3 linked regions of the Saccharomyces cerevisiae S288C genome follow. Changing the gene in region 3 together with the main gene of any one other region gives a genetic interaction. Each region holds a gene or a part of one and is shown on either strand. Other genes may lie near its edges.

The links. Genes that interact genetically often act in the same process or in processes that back each other up.
Region 1: mutations in CRN1 (region 3) and UFD1 together harm fitness more than expected from each alone (negative genetic interaction), as found in Saccharomyces cerevisiae (2 studies listed by BioGRID).
Region 2: mutations in CRN1 (region 3) and PAU12 together harm fitness more than expected from each alone (negative genetic interaction), as found in Saccharomyces cerevisiae (2 studies listed by BioGRID).

Annotation. Positions count from the first base shown.
Region 1 is NC_001139.9:587,849-591,411, reverse strand, and holds UFD1 (polyubiquitin-binding protein UFD1), read right to left. Parts: upstream 1,587-3,563; coding exon 501-1,586; downstream 1-500. Other genes in the region: SCM4 (Scm4p), read right to left, coding at 1-98; transcription factor TFIIIC subunit TFC4, read left to right, coding at 1,943-3,563. UniProt on the Saccharomyces cerevisiae protein: Functions at a post-ubiquitation step in the ubiquitin fusion degradation (UFD) pathway. Has a role in the endoplasmic reticulum-associated degradation (ERAD) pathway.
Region 2 is NC_001139.9:1,078,694-1,081,168, reverse strand, and holds PAU12 (seripauperin PAU12), read right to left. Parts: upstream 864-2,475; coding exon 501-863; downstream 1-500.
Region 3 is NC_001144.5:987,635-995,919, forward strand, and holds CRN1 (coronin), read left to right. Parts: upstream 1-3,142; coding exon 3,143-5,098; downstream 5,099-8,285. Other genes in the region: TDA5 (Tda5p), read left to right, coding at 1-479; RING-type E3 ubiquitin transferase MAG2, read left to right, coding at 794-2,806; DNA/RNA helicase SEN1, read left to right, coding at 5,800-8,285.

The sequences.
Region 1 (3,563 bases), on a different chromosome or scaffold from region 3:
GTGGTAATAGAAATCACGGTAGATGAAGTTAAAATACCGGCGTATAAACCTAATGATGAGACTGCGATACCTTTTACAATAGCTGGGGAGACTTGCATTTGTTTTTTAGTATATGTAAGGATTCTTATGAGTGTTTGTCTTAAACTTGCTTTTCGTGAGGTAAGGGTTAAAAAATCAGCTTGGATATAATTTGGAACAATAGAAACTTCTTTTCTCTCATTTATATACTGATCAACTCACAATTATATAACCTGGTTCTTTTTTTTTTTATTTTTCAACAACACAATAGATTCGAGTATGGGTAAACGAAGAGAATTACTTCGGCATTAAGCAAGGGAAATATCGCGCAACCGCGCACGTAATTATTTTTACTAAACGAACAGCAAATGCAGCAGAGCTAATGCGATGCATAAGATACTTGGATTCTAAGATCTGTTAACTTGAAAATGCTCTATATATCTGTCAAAGACACTATATTGTTGTATACTAGTATATATCTTTTAGTCAATTTCGATTACTTCCGGGCTTTTGGGAGCCTTGGACTTGGACGAATCATGGTCACTTTTCGTTTTTCTCTTATTGCTCTTCCTTAGTGAGATCCCTTGGCCTTGGAAATTTTGTTCACTGGATTTGCTACCAGCGGCACTTTCTTCGTCTTCTTTCGGTAGGACCATTGGGAAACCAAAGAATAATTGGCCTTCAGGCAGATCTAGCTTGGCGGGCTCGCCATCAAACGTTATCTTCATATCTTTTATATCTTGCTTGGGCTCCGCTTTCGGAGCTTTACCAGATATGTTTTGTCCCTGACCTACAAATTTAGATAGTTTGTTTCTGCTACTGTTAGCGATACCCGCATAGTCGATTCTTGTGGACATCGATCCCTGGCCAAGCACCGAGGGATCCAAAACTTGGCCCTTACCAAAAGAATTCTTTTTTTCTTTATCTTGCTGAGCTTTCAGCGCTTTGTAATCCGGTTCCACATATCCTACAGGTGGAGCAAAATCTGTTACTAAATCTGTTTCAATGACACATATACTCTTCGATGATGATTCTGGTTTGACTTCTAAGATCTTAATTTTGAAAGTTTTACCATTGTAACTAATCTCAATAACATCGTCCACGGTCAAAGTCGAGAAATTCCTCAGTACGTTTTCCAAAACTGCTTTGGGGTCGGAAATATCCAAGAAATCTACAGACTGAGGTTCTAACTTCACAAACTGGCCCAGAGGTACATCAGTAGATGAAATTTGCAGTAGAGATCCTGGCTGTATACCCAAAGTTTCCATCATCCATTGTGGTAAGTAAACTCTGCCCTCTTCAGCAATAAATTCTAAAACACCTCCATGTGTCACACGTCCAGTTTCATTGGCAGTTAGTTTAAAAAGCATGGGGTATCTTATGTTCAACATGGATAGTTTGCTTAGAGCACTTGGTGGCAGGAATATTTTCCCGCCGAAGTTTGCGTCATCCTTCCGTATTCTATCATTCATCATAGCTATAGGGTAGCATCTAAAGAACTCCTCAAACGTTTGAGGCATATTTACAAAACCATTTCCGCCGCCAAAAGAACTAAAGCCAGAAAACATTTTTATTATATTTTACAGTATCACTTTGATATTTTTTCCTCCCTTGCTATGGTATGTGTTACTATCTATTGAAAACTACATCATTATCTCTTCCCTATTCACATAGACCAGCCAGGATTACTTTTAACTACCTTTATTTTTCGCCACCTAACCCAAAAAAGGAATTCTTCTCTTTCGTAGAACGCAAGTTTGACTTTTTCGTCGTAAAGGCGAGTTTCCCAAAGTGGACACTTTTTTTTTTTAAGGCGCTTCGGCTAGAAATAGAAGAACGATAATAATGGCAGCGCACTGTGTATAATAACACCAGTCAACAATGAATCTGAAGCTAGAGAAAGAAACCCTCAAGTGTATCTGTGATGGCAGCAGGAAAATTGAAAAAGGAACAGCAAAATCAATCAGCTGAACGAGAAAGCGCTGATACGGGTAAAGTTAACGATGAGGATGAAGAGCATCTATACGGAAATATTGATGACTATAAGCATTTGATTCAAGATGAGGAATATGATGACGAGGATGTACCTCATGATCTACAATTAAGCGAAGATGAATATAATTCCGAACGAGACAGTTCTTTGTTGGCAGAATTCTCGGACTACGGTGAAATATCTGAAGACGATGAGGAAGATTTCATGAACGCGATTAGGGAAGCAAGTAACTTTAAGGTAAAAAAGAAGAAGAAAAATGACAAAGGTAAATCTTACGGCCGCCAAAGAAAAGAAAGAGTGCTTGATCCAGAGGTAGCGCAATTACTTTCTCAAGCCAATGAAGCTTTTGTCAGGAATGATTTACAAGTGGCCGAAAGATTATTTAATGAGGTAATTAAAAAAGATGCACGTAATTTTGCTGCTTACGAGACCCTAGGAGATATATATCAATTGCAAGGAAGGCTTAATGATTGTTGTAACTCTTGGTTCCTGGCAGCTCACCTAAATGCTTCCGATTGGGAATTCTGGAAGATAGTCGCTATACTGTCCGCCGATTTAGATCATGTTAGGCAGGCCATCTACTGCTTTTCCAGGGTAATAAGTTTGAATCCTATGGAATGGGAATCAATTTATCGCCGGTCTATGTTGTACAAGAAGACAGGACAGTTAGCAAGAGCTTTAGATGGATTTCAAAGGCTTTACATGTACAATCCTTATGATGCAAACATATTGAGGGAGTTGGCCATTCTTTATGTTGATTATGATCGGATTGAAGATTCAATTGAGCTCTATATGAAAGTGTTTAATGCTAATGTTGAGAGAAGGGAAGCGATATTAGCTGCTTTAGAAAATGCCTTAGATTCTTCAGACGAAGAAAGCGCCGCAGAAGGGGAGGATGCAGACGAAAAGGAACCCCTTGAACAAGATGAAGATAGGCAGATGTTTCCTGACATCAACTGGAAAAAAATTGATGCAAAATATAAATGCATACCATTTGACTGGTCTTCTTTGAACATTCTCGCGGAACTTTTCTTAAAACTCGCAGTTAGTGAGGTCGATGGTATAAAGACAATTAAAAAATGTGCACGGTGGATTCAACGCCGCGAAAGCCAGACATTTTGGGATCATGTTCCAGATGATTCAGAATTTGACAATAGAAGGTTTAAAAACAGTACCTTTGATTCACTACTTGCCGCAGAAAAGGAAAAATCGTATAACATTCCAATCGATATTAGAGTTAGATTGGGATTGTTAAGATTGAACACAGATAACCTTGTTGAAGCTCTGAATCATTTTCAATGCCTGTATGATGAGACTTTCAGTGACGTTGCGGATTTATATTTTGAGGCTGCAACTGCTTTAACAAGGGCTGAAAAGTATAAAGAGGCTATCGATTTCTTTACGCCGTTGTTATCCCTTGAGGAATGGCGTACCACTGACGTCTTCAAACCACTAGCAAGATGCTACAAGGAAATCGAAAGTTATGAAACGGCTAAAGAGTTTTATGAACTAGCTATAAAATCTGAACCAGATGATTTAGATATTCGTGTAT
Region 2 (2,475 bases), on a different chromosome or scaffold from region 3:
TACCGAACACTAAATAGAAACCCTCCTGCCACGAAAAACTTCAAGATCGATAACTTTAATCTTAAAAATTTGACACATTTGAAGGCGACGACTCCGGGCCGATCGATGCCCTGAAAAAAAAAAAAAAAATAAAGGCGACCTCGTTTAAGGTGAATATGGAAGAAAATGGTTATATAATTGCTTGAACATTTGTCGTTATATATTAACAATAGCATCAACCGGTTTACTAGCAAGTGATCCTAAAATATGATTTTTTCAACATAGATATTGATGACCCATGTCGTTGAAGTGGACACACATCGAAGAATACCACAAAAGGAAGAGAGGATTCTTGTCCTTGCTCCGCCAAGTTGTTCATAAATATCACGATTGACCAGTAGTAACAATATTAATATACACTTACATATAATGAACTATTTATACTATCAAAAAAAAAAAGCTTTTTTTATTTTCGTTATTTCTTAAGGTTTATGGAATTTCGTTCGTAAAGGCGTTTGTCTCTAGTTTGCGATAGTGTAGATACCGTCCTTGGATAGAGCACTGGAGATGGCTGGCTTTAATCTGCTGGAGTACCATGGAACACCGGTGATCATTCTGGTCACTTGGTCTGGGGCAATACCAGTCAACATGGTGGTGAAGTCACCGTAGTTGAAAACGGCTTCAGCGATTTCAACTGGGTAGGTTTCAGTTGGATGAGCGGCTTGGAAAGAGTAGTATTGGGCCAAGTGAGCTCTGATATCAGAGACGTAGACACCCAATTCAACCAAGTTGACTCTTTCGTCAGATTGAGCTAGAGTGGTGGTTGCGGAAGCAGTAGCAGCGATGGCGGCAACACCAGCAGCGATTGAAGTTAGTTTGACCATTGTATTTGTTTTGTTTTTTAGTGCTGATGTAAGCTTAACAAGAAATAGTGAAATGAAAGCGCATACCTCAAAGATGGATAGCTACAGCAGCTCTATTTATATGAATGTCTTGCCAACTTCCCTGGCACAAACGAGTTATCATCTGGCACCCATCTCTCACCTAAAATGCCTCAGTGTACAATGTTCATCCCACATTCATTATTCATATTATTACGGTGCTTCTGTACTTGAACGATGCGTCTTTCATAGGTCCCGTATACGAGGCGCACGCTTCATAGTGCCTATACCTTTTTATTGCATTTCCAAGGCACAAGAATGTTTTCTCACAGTGTACATACTTCCGAAGAATCCCTTTAGGGTGCCTTCAGAGATGCAGCTGCAGCTTTTGGCCAAGAAAAAGCTAAAACCAAATTTGCTTTGAACCCTCGTTCAGAGGCCATCTAATCTTTGTGCGCTAAACGGTTGCTACGGGAAAATTGTAGATTCTGTTTTTCTTAAAATAGAAAGTGAAAGACTTATCGAATACCGGAGTCGTATATTGTAGGTGTCTACAGTCTTATACACTGCCAGCAAAAATGTTGACAAGAATAAATGAGCATTCGAGGTGCTACGAAGCTCTAGTTCTGAAACAGCGGAACTTCCACTGGACAAAGCTGACCATAGCGGAAACTATACCGGAAATTGATAAGTTAACATCTTAATAAGTATTGTATAATTTTTTTTGTAATACTAATAATCGGAGAACAGCATCAGCGCTTCGTATGGTAGGCAACGGTTGCCGCCTAGGTCTACGTTTTTCTATTCATTATATGGTACATGAAGGAGACAAAAAGTGGCGGATTACATACAGAACTTCTATCCTATGGATGTACCTGCAGTCTTTCTGTTTGGATGAAATTGATAGAGGGCTTAGTGTTACTAATACAGAAATCCTTTAAGCCTTTTTCTCCCTTTTATTCACTGTTTCAATATGTCTATCATTCTGGTCATGTGTTTTTCTTCGAGGAATTTACAACTATTACAGCGATAAGTAATCATACGTATCCAGATTATAGGCCCGTTGCTGAAGAATTACTACACTTCTCTGGTATATAGTTATAGCTCAATAACTAATGGTATAGGAGACACAGATTTTAGTAGTCAAACTTCTCAAAGGATAAGACCGTCATTCCACCTCTCATCTTCACTTCATTGGCTTTTAGATATTGATTGTGGGGTGTTAATGTTGTGGAGTTACTGAAGTAGCAAGAATCTTATGCGCTTATTTTCTTTTGCTTAATAACACTGTCTAAAGCAGAGGAATTATGGACAGATGATTGGTTTAGTTCATCTGAAGGCTAGACAATAAAAGGCGGGTTCGGAAGGGGGTAGGCATGCTCAGACTTGACGTAAACGCATAAGCCGGCAATGTTGAATCGATTTTGTAACTCGCCTGAGTGTTACGTGAGATTACATATAGGATCGAACTATCACGAAATCAATTACGCTGTGTTATTGAATCATAAAATCACAGAGCTTCCCGAGAAAACGCTAAATTATGTGTCAAGTACTGCGGACATCTCTTAACGCTATCTTATATTCATTTCACTTTTTATATCTAGTCCTTTTCTTT
Region 3 (8,285 bases):
AGATTTTTAAGATAAACACATTTGCACCACTTCAGTTCATTCAAGAACTGGCCCCTAGTAGACACTCAACTAGACAGTGTTATATTGTCAATATCGCAAGCATTTTGGGCATATTGACGCCGGCCAAAGTAGCAGCTTATGCGGCGAGCAAAGCAGCATTGATAGCCTTTCATCAGTCGTACAGTTTTGAATTGCAAAACGAAGGCGTAAGAAATATCAGAACACTATTAGTGACCCCAGGGCAACTGAATACGGAAATGTTTGCAGGATTCAAGCCTCCTCGCCAGTTCTTTGCCCCTGTAATAGACATTACTACTCTAGCTGCCAAGATAGTCCGTTATTGTGAGCTGGGTCAGAGGGGACAGCTAAATGAACCCTTTTATTGTAGTTTTGCTCATCTTTTGATGTGCGTACCTTATTCGCTACAACGCATTGTAAGAAGCTTCTCTCGCATAGATTGCTGCCTCCCGGACGAGTAGAAAGCTATACATAGTAAATAGAATATTTATAGATGAATCCGAGTAGACAGCCTTGGTGTTTGCTTATACATTCTTTGCAATTATGCACGCCCTCATTACCGTTGCTCATATTTTTGGGCATTAATTGTATTTTGAAAAGTGCTCGTTCAGGCCCGTGTAAAAAAAGGTGATGAAGCAAACATTATAATAAACACTTCTGAGAAGCCACGTGTAGAGGGGTAAGCTATATCGTAAACACCGTTGGATGTGGACCACGGTGCACTGATAAAATAAAGATATAGTAGTAGAATCTGTTACTAATCTTAACACTTTTGATGGTAGAACCGGACATGCAGAAGAAGGCAAGTGGTGGCAGTGGCGGTTCCGAGATGGATACTTTAAATGCTACCAGCAACAGTAGTAAACAAGGAGTTTCAAATAATAAAAGGAATCCGGTCAGTAAAAAGAAACCAGGGAATAAGGTCTCTGATGGAAGAGATAATGCACATAATTATCACGGGGAAGGCCGCAGAAAAAGTAGCAAACAACAGAGGTCAAGAACGCCCTATAAGGAGACTAGTACTAGGATCAATGATCAAGATATAGATTTATCTATCCAGGAAGAAATTCTTGGTGGTAATTTCAAATTACGAGGCAGGAAAACTCAAGTTTCCATTAATCATTTGTTGAATTTCCAGTTACCTGAAGTCGAAAGGGAAAAAAGTAGGTCCTCTTCAAGTAAGAAATCGAATAGGAGACGCGATGAGCACGTACATTTACACGGTGACACATTTGTTAATGTTAATTACCGTCTTTTGGTAGATGATCGTTTTGACTACCCAGAGCAAAACTGTAACCCGAACGTTCCTGTCGATCAAGAAAAGATTCTAAGAGTCATAGTGCCAAAGGGTCAGAATTGTTCTATTTGTCTGAGCGAGGAACCGGTGGCTCCCAGAATGGTTACTTGTGGCCATATTTTCTGTCTAAGTTGTCTCTTGAACTTTTTCTCCATTGAAGAAACCGTCAAAAATAAAGAGACTGGGTACTCAAAGAAGAAGAAATATAAAGAATGCCCGCTTTGTGGAAGTATTATTGGCCCTAAAAGGGTCAAGCCTGTTCTGTATGAGGACGACTTTGATGTAACCAGGTTAAATCAAAAACCCGAACCTGGTGCCACAGTACATCTACAACTGATGTGTAAACCACACGGTTCACTATTACCTTTGCCAGTAGCCTTACATTTAGACCCTCTAAAATGTGGAAATTTCCCTCCCGCAAACTTAGGATCAATAAAGCATTATGCGCATATTATGAAGTGTGGCGTGTCTTACTCCTTGGAGCTCTATCAAAAGGACATTGTTGCTATTCAGGAACAATATGAAATCGACAAGGCCATTTATAATGATAGTGGAAAATTTGTTAAGCAGTCGATTGAAAATATCAATGATCAAATTTCGACGTTGCTGGCTGCAACCACTGATTTGAGCCCACTTTCCAACGATATTAACAACGGTTTGGACAATTTTCATTTTGATGACGATCTCTTGACCAAATACGATGATTCTTCCGCTTATTTTTTCTACCAGACGTTGGTGGCATCGTCCACGAAATACTTCTTATCTCCACTGGATGTAAAAATCTTATTGACTATTTTCCACTATTATTCCAAGTTTCCAGAAAGCATCGAGACGACAGTCGAAAATATACATTATGATACAGTGGTAACGGAGCAATTAATCCGCCGCTACAAGTACATCGGCCACCTTCCAATCGGCACTGAGATTGCCCTTTTAGACTTGGACTGGCGTAAAATACCATTCCTTCCCAAGGAAATTTACGAACAGTTTGCTCATGAGCTAAAACAACGTCGAAGAAAATTCACAATGAAAAAGCAAAAGGAAGATAAGGAAAAGAAACTATATGAAAAAAGGTTGGAACAAGAACATGCCGAGTTCTACAGAAAGGAAAATGGCAATTCTCTCAAGTTTGAAGACTCTGTACAGATGGCTACCCATTATGAATCCATTGTAAGCTCTTCCATACCTCTCAACTCCTTAGGAATTTCTATGCTGGGTCCACCGACAAATTCCTGCTCTACTCCTCAAAAGCAAGCGCCCTCCCACACGAAAAGAACAATTTGGGGGACATCAATTGCAGTGACGGAAGACGAAAAAGCATCAAAGGAGAACAAAGAATTTCAAGATATGTTATTGCAGCGAATAAGGCAGGAAGATAGTTCGGATGTCACAGATTCGACGGATTCTCCTCCTACAAGTAATGGTAAGCGAGGCAGGAAGAAGAAAGGTAAAGTCATGCTATTCAGCAGCAATCATCAAGCCTTGGGTTAGGTTACAGCATGTTCTGCTTAAAAATCTCTTTCCAAGCCAGAAATGTGGGAGGACCTATTCTATATCATTTCAAAATCGAACTCTATATCTTTATGTATAACTTCAAACGCTATTGCATATAAACAATTACTCATATATAGTCCAAATGCATTCATACCATGTTATACTATTCAATTCTAGTGTCGTTGTGCGTGATTTTTCACTTTTGACCGTAAATAGAATTTCGGTGATATTATTTTAACTCTCGAAGAAAATAAAGTAGATTCATGTACACGTATATCAAAAGAGTACAGTGAAAAAGGGATAAAGGATACACTCCACTTAGAAGGGCGCAAGATGAGTGGAAAATTTGTTCGTGCTTCTAAATATAGACACGTCTTTGGCCAAGCGGCCAAAAAGGAACTGCAATATGAAAAACTCAAAGTGACCAACAACGCATGGGACTCCAACTTGCTAAAAACGAATGGTAAATTTATTGCGGTGAATTGGAATGCCTCTGGAGGTGGTGCATTCGCTGTCATTCCGATCGAGGAAGTGGGCAAGGCTCCAGATCAAGTGCCTTTGTTCAGAGGCCACACTGCGCAGGTCTTGGATACCGATTTTGATCCGTTTAATGACCACAGGATTGCTTCCGGTTCCGATGATTCTAAGATTGGTATTTGGGACATACCGGAAAACTACAAATTTCACGATCATGTAGATGAAGATGGAGAGCCAATTGATATCAAACCAGTAAAGTTTTTGACAGGACACGCAAGGAAAGTTGGACATGTTCTTTATCATCCCGTCGCTGAGAATGTATTAGCATCCTCTTCAGGTGACTATACTGTTAAATTATGGAATGTGGAAACTGGAAAGGACATGATTACTTTGAAACATCCAGATATGGTCACATCCATGTCATTTTCGTATGATGGTAATTATCTTGCCACAGTGGCTCGAGATAAGAAACTACGAGTCTGGAATATCAGAGAAGAAAAAATTGTTAGCGAAGGGCCTGCCCATACGGGTGCAAAAAACCAAAGGGTGGTATGGTTAGGAAACTCTGACAGATTGGCTACTACTGGTTTTTCAAAATTGAGTGATCGTCAAATCGGTATTTGGGATGCCTTCAACATTGAAAAGGGAGATTTGGGAGGCTTCTACACTGTCGACCAATCATCAGGTATTTTGATGCCCTTTTATGACGAAGGGAATAAGATTCTTTACTTGGTGGGGAAAGGTGATGGTAATATTCGATACTACGAATTTCAAAACGACGAGCTGTTTGAGTTGTCTGAATTCCAATCCACAGAAGCACAGAGAGGCTTTGCTGTAGCGCCTAAGCGAATGGTGAACGTCAAAGAAAACGAAGTCTTAAAAGGTTTCAAGACTGTCGTTGATCAGCGTATCGAACCGGTATCTTTCTTTGTTCCAAGGAGATCAGAGGAGTTCCAAGAAGATATCTACCCGGATGCACCTTCCAATAAGCCAGCTTTAACTGCTGAAGAGTGGTTTTCTGGCAAGTCTGTTGAAGGTCCAATTCTCGTTAGTATGAGATCTATCTATGACGGTTCCGCACCAAGCTTTCATGAGGCTAAAAGACCTCAACAGCCAACAACTCAAGAAACAGCTCTTGAAGAGAAAAAGGAGCAGCCTAAAGTGGAGAAGCCAATCAGCGAATCCGAAAAGGAGGTGAAACAAGAAGCTCCAAAATCTCCCTCACCGCTAAAGTCGGCCTCCTCATCTTCTACAATCAACCATGTATTAAAGGAAGATAATTCGATCAACAAGTTGTTGAAGAAATCCTCCGATATTGATCAAGTTAACAACGCCGAAGATCCGTCTAGGGATACCTCCGGATGGGAAGAAGCCGATGATGAGCCAGCTCCTATCAAAATCGAAACCCCAGTCACTCCAACAGAAACTAAAAAGGATCGCACACCTAAGGTCGAACCTTCAAAAGAATTGAAGCCAGAGCCAGTGTCTATCGCAACAGATAGAAAACAGGAGCAAAGCTTACCTCAAGAAGAGAAGTCCTCTGAGAAAACAAAGTCCCCTGAGCAGGAAAAATCCGCAACACCTCCTTCTTCAATTACGGCTGCTAAGACAGCCATTACTGCCAGCAGTAAGGAAGAGCCATCCGCGGCAAGGACATCACCTAAGTCATTGGGTTTAAAAAAGTCTGTCGAAAAACTATCTACATTGGTTCTGCAATTAGAAGATGTAGTTGATAAATTAACGAAAGCAAATCTTGACAAAGATGAGCGCCTGTTAAAGTTGGAACAAAAAATTGGCGAACTGTCAAAATGAAAATTTTTTGTACTTTTAATGATAAAATTAAGTGAGTCCTTTTTATAGGAAAGATGTATTTTGATTATATGTAATGTACATAAGACGGCGGCGATAATAATGCACTTAGAAAGTGAATCATGTTCACCTGTCCACTAACAAAAAAGGAAACAAAATGTTGCTTTCCCACAGGAAAAAGAATGTTTTTGACAAAACACTAAGCGTTATGTGACCAATGTATAATTGTCCTCATCATATAGTTTTATGCAAGCATAAATAAGTCTTTCTTTTAGTTAAAACGCGTTACATAGTAAAGGTAACCCTGAATGAATTTTTATTTATATTTTTCTTCGCATATTTTAGGATCTTGAAAAATTAACCACAAGTTAGAAGTTGATGAGATCAGGAATTCTAACAAAAGGTCATTGGTTAGGTTTATTTTGTAGGTGCACGTTTGCAACTTTATTCCTTTTGTTTCAAAGTTATAGAGCTTTCATTTTCTCATTCTTCTCTAGTGTAGGTCATTTCTCCTGCATATTAACCTACTAGAAAAGTTTACGAAGCTTCATAGGAACGAATAATCGATCACTTTAAAGGCTTCCCGCACTTTAATCTTATCATCTACACCTACAAAAAAGCTCTACTTTGTCATTTATTTTCTACTTCATCTCTGTATGGCATCTATCTCTATATATATAAAAAAGCGCATCTGTTTATTATAAATGAATTCCAACAATCCTGATAATAATAATAGCAACAACATTAATAATAATAATAAGGATAAGGATATTGCCCCCAATAGCGATGTTCAGCTAGCTACCGTCTATACCAAGGCAAAGTCTTACATTCCTCAGATTGAACAAGTTTATCAAGGCACAAATCCAAATATTCAAGAGGCAAAATTATTAGGGGAGTTATTACAAGTTCTAGCAGAAGTTCCCAAGGGTACGCATTTATTTTGCGACCCCATACTTGAACCAATATCAATTTTTTCCCTAACCATTTTCTCATTCAATGAAGAAGCTACGGCCACATGGCTGAAGAATCATTTTAATCCAATTCTCTCTGTTTGTGATAAATGCATTCTAAATTTTGCGAGAGGGAAGTGCAAAATGTTACAACATTTTGCCATTCAAAGACATGTGCCGCATGAACATGTAGCCAAGTTTAATGACATCGTATGCCAATGGAGGGTGGAGGCTGTTTTTCCTATTCTTAGAAATATTTCCGTTAACGATAATACGGGAATTAACATTACAAATGAAATTGAAACTGCAATGTACGAGTGTCTCTGTAATCCGCATATGTTGAGGCTTAACAAGCAACTTAAGGCTACTTTCGAAGCAATCTTCAAATTTTTCTACGACACAAAGCATCGTTTGTTGGACGTTACGAATCCATTAAGCATAAAAACCTTTATATCAGGTGTCATATTTTGCTGGTGTGAAGGTTCAAAAGAGGAAAATGAGTGGTCACGAGCTTTTCTAAAGGATTTATACTCAAGAAATTTCCATATAAATCTTTCTAACCTGACACCGGATATTATTGAGGAAGTTTATATCCATATTTTATTCTTACAGAATCCGGCAAACTGGACAGAGATTGTGGTATCTCAATTCTGGTCGAGATTACTACCGGTTTTCAATTTATTTGATAAAGACGTCTTCATAGAGTACTTTCAGGTCCCAAAAAATGTGGAATCTTTAAAAAAAACATTCAAATTTCCGTTAGAGCCAATTTTTAAAATGTGGTACAATCACTTAAGCAAATCATATCATGATAAGCCACTAGACTTTTTGTTAAGAGGATTAACAATGTTCTTGAATAAATTTGGCTCCGAGTTTTGGTCCAAAATTGAACCCTTCACATTCCATAGCATTTTGGATATAATTTTCAATAGAGATTCATTCCCAATCAAACTAATCAAAATTCAAGACAATCCAATTGTTGAGCATCAAACAGAAGTTTACTTTCAACTTACCGGTTCTGTAACCGATTTACTTTCTTGGACCTTACCATTTTATCATGCACTGTCACCATCCAAAAGAATTCAAATGGTTAGAAAGGTCTCAATGGCGTTCCTGCGTATAATAGCCAATTATCCATCCCTAAAATCCATTCCCAAAGCTTGTTTAATGAATTCAGCAACTGCCTTGTTGAGGGCTGTGTTGACTATTAAGGAAAATGAAAGGGCAATGCTTTATAAGAATGATGAATTTGAAACAGTACTGTTGACTAAAACAGATTCTAGAGCTTTGCTCAACAATCCTTTGATCCAAGACATAATAATTAGATCAGCTTCGAATCCTAACGACTTTTATCCTGGGCTAGGTGCTGCTTCTGCATCGGTGGCCACATCCACGATGATGGTATTGGCAGAATGTATCGATTTTGATATACTGTTATTATGTCATCGAACGTTTAAGCTTTATTCAGGTAAACCAATTAGCGAAATTCCAATTTCAACCAACGTCTTGGAAAATGTTACAAATAAAATTGACCTGAGATCTTTTCATGACGGTCCATTGCTGGCCAAACAGCTGCTAGTATCTTTAAAAAATATTAATGGTCTTTTGATAGTACCGTCAAATACTGCCGTAGCTGAGGCACACAACGCATTGAATCAGAAGTTTTTGCTGCTATCAACGAGATTAATGGAAAAATTTGCGGATATTTTGCCCGGTCAACTGTCTAAAATCCTTGCGGATGAAGATGCATCGCAGGGTTTTTGGTCCTGCATATTCTCCTCTGATAAACACTTGTATCAAGCAGCTACTAATATTTTATACAATACATTTGACGTTGAGGGTAGACTGGAAGGTATCTTAGCGATTCTGAATAGTAATTTGACCGTTAACTTGAAGAATATAAACGTGATGCTACAAAGATTAATCAATTGTGAATTCTATGAGCCTTGCCCCCGTGCTGTTCGTGTTTTGATGGACGTAGTGAGTGCATTTGTAGACCCGATTTCTGGTGTGTTTGCTAATTTCCAAACTTTGAAGAGCCAAAATACCGAAAAGGAATTTTTAAAATTCTGGGAATCATGTTGGTTATTCTTGGATACGATTTATAAGTTTACTTTGAAATGGGCTTCTAAATATGACTATTCTGAACTGGAAAATTTCACCAAAGATACTTTAGATCTAAGTCGCTCTTTGGTGGACTCCTTTAGAGAATTTTCAGATATTCTTCATGACCAAACGAA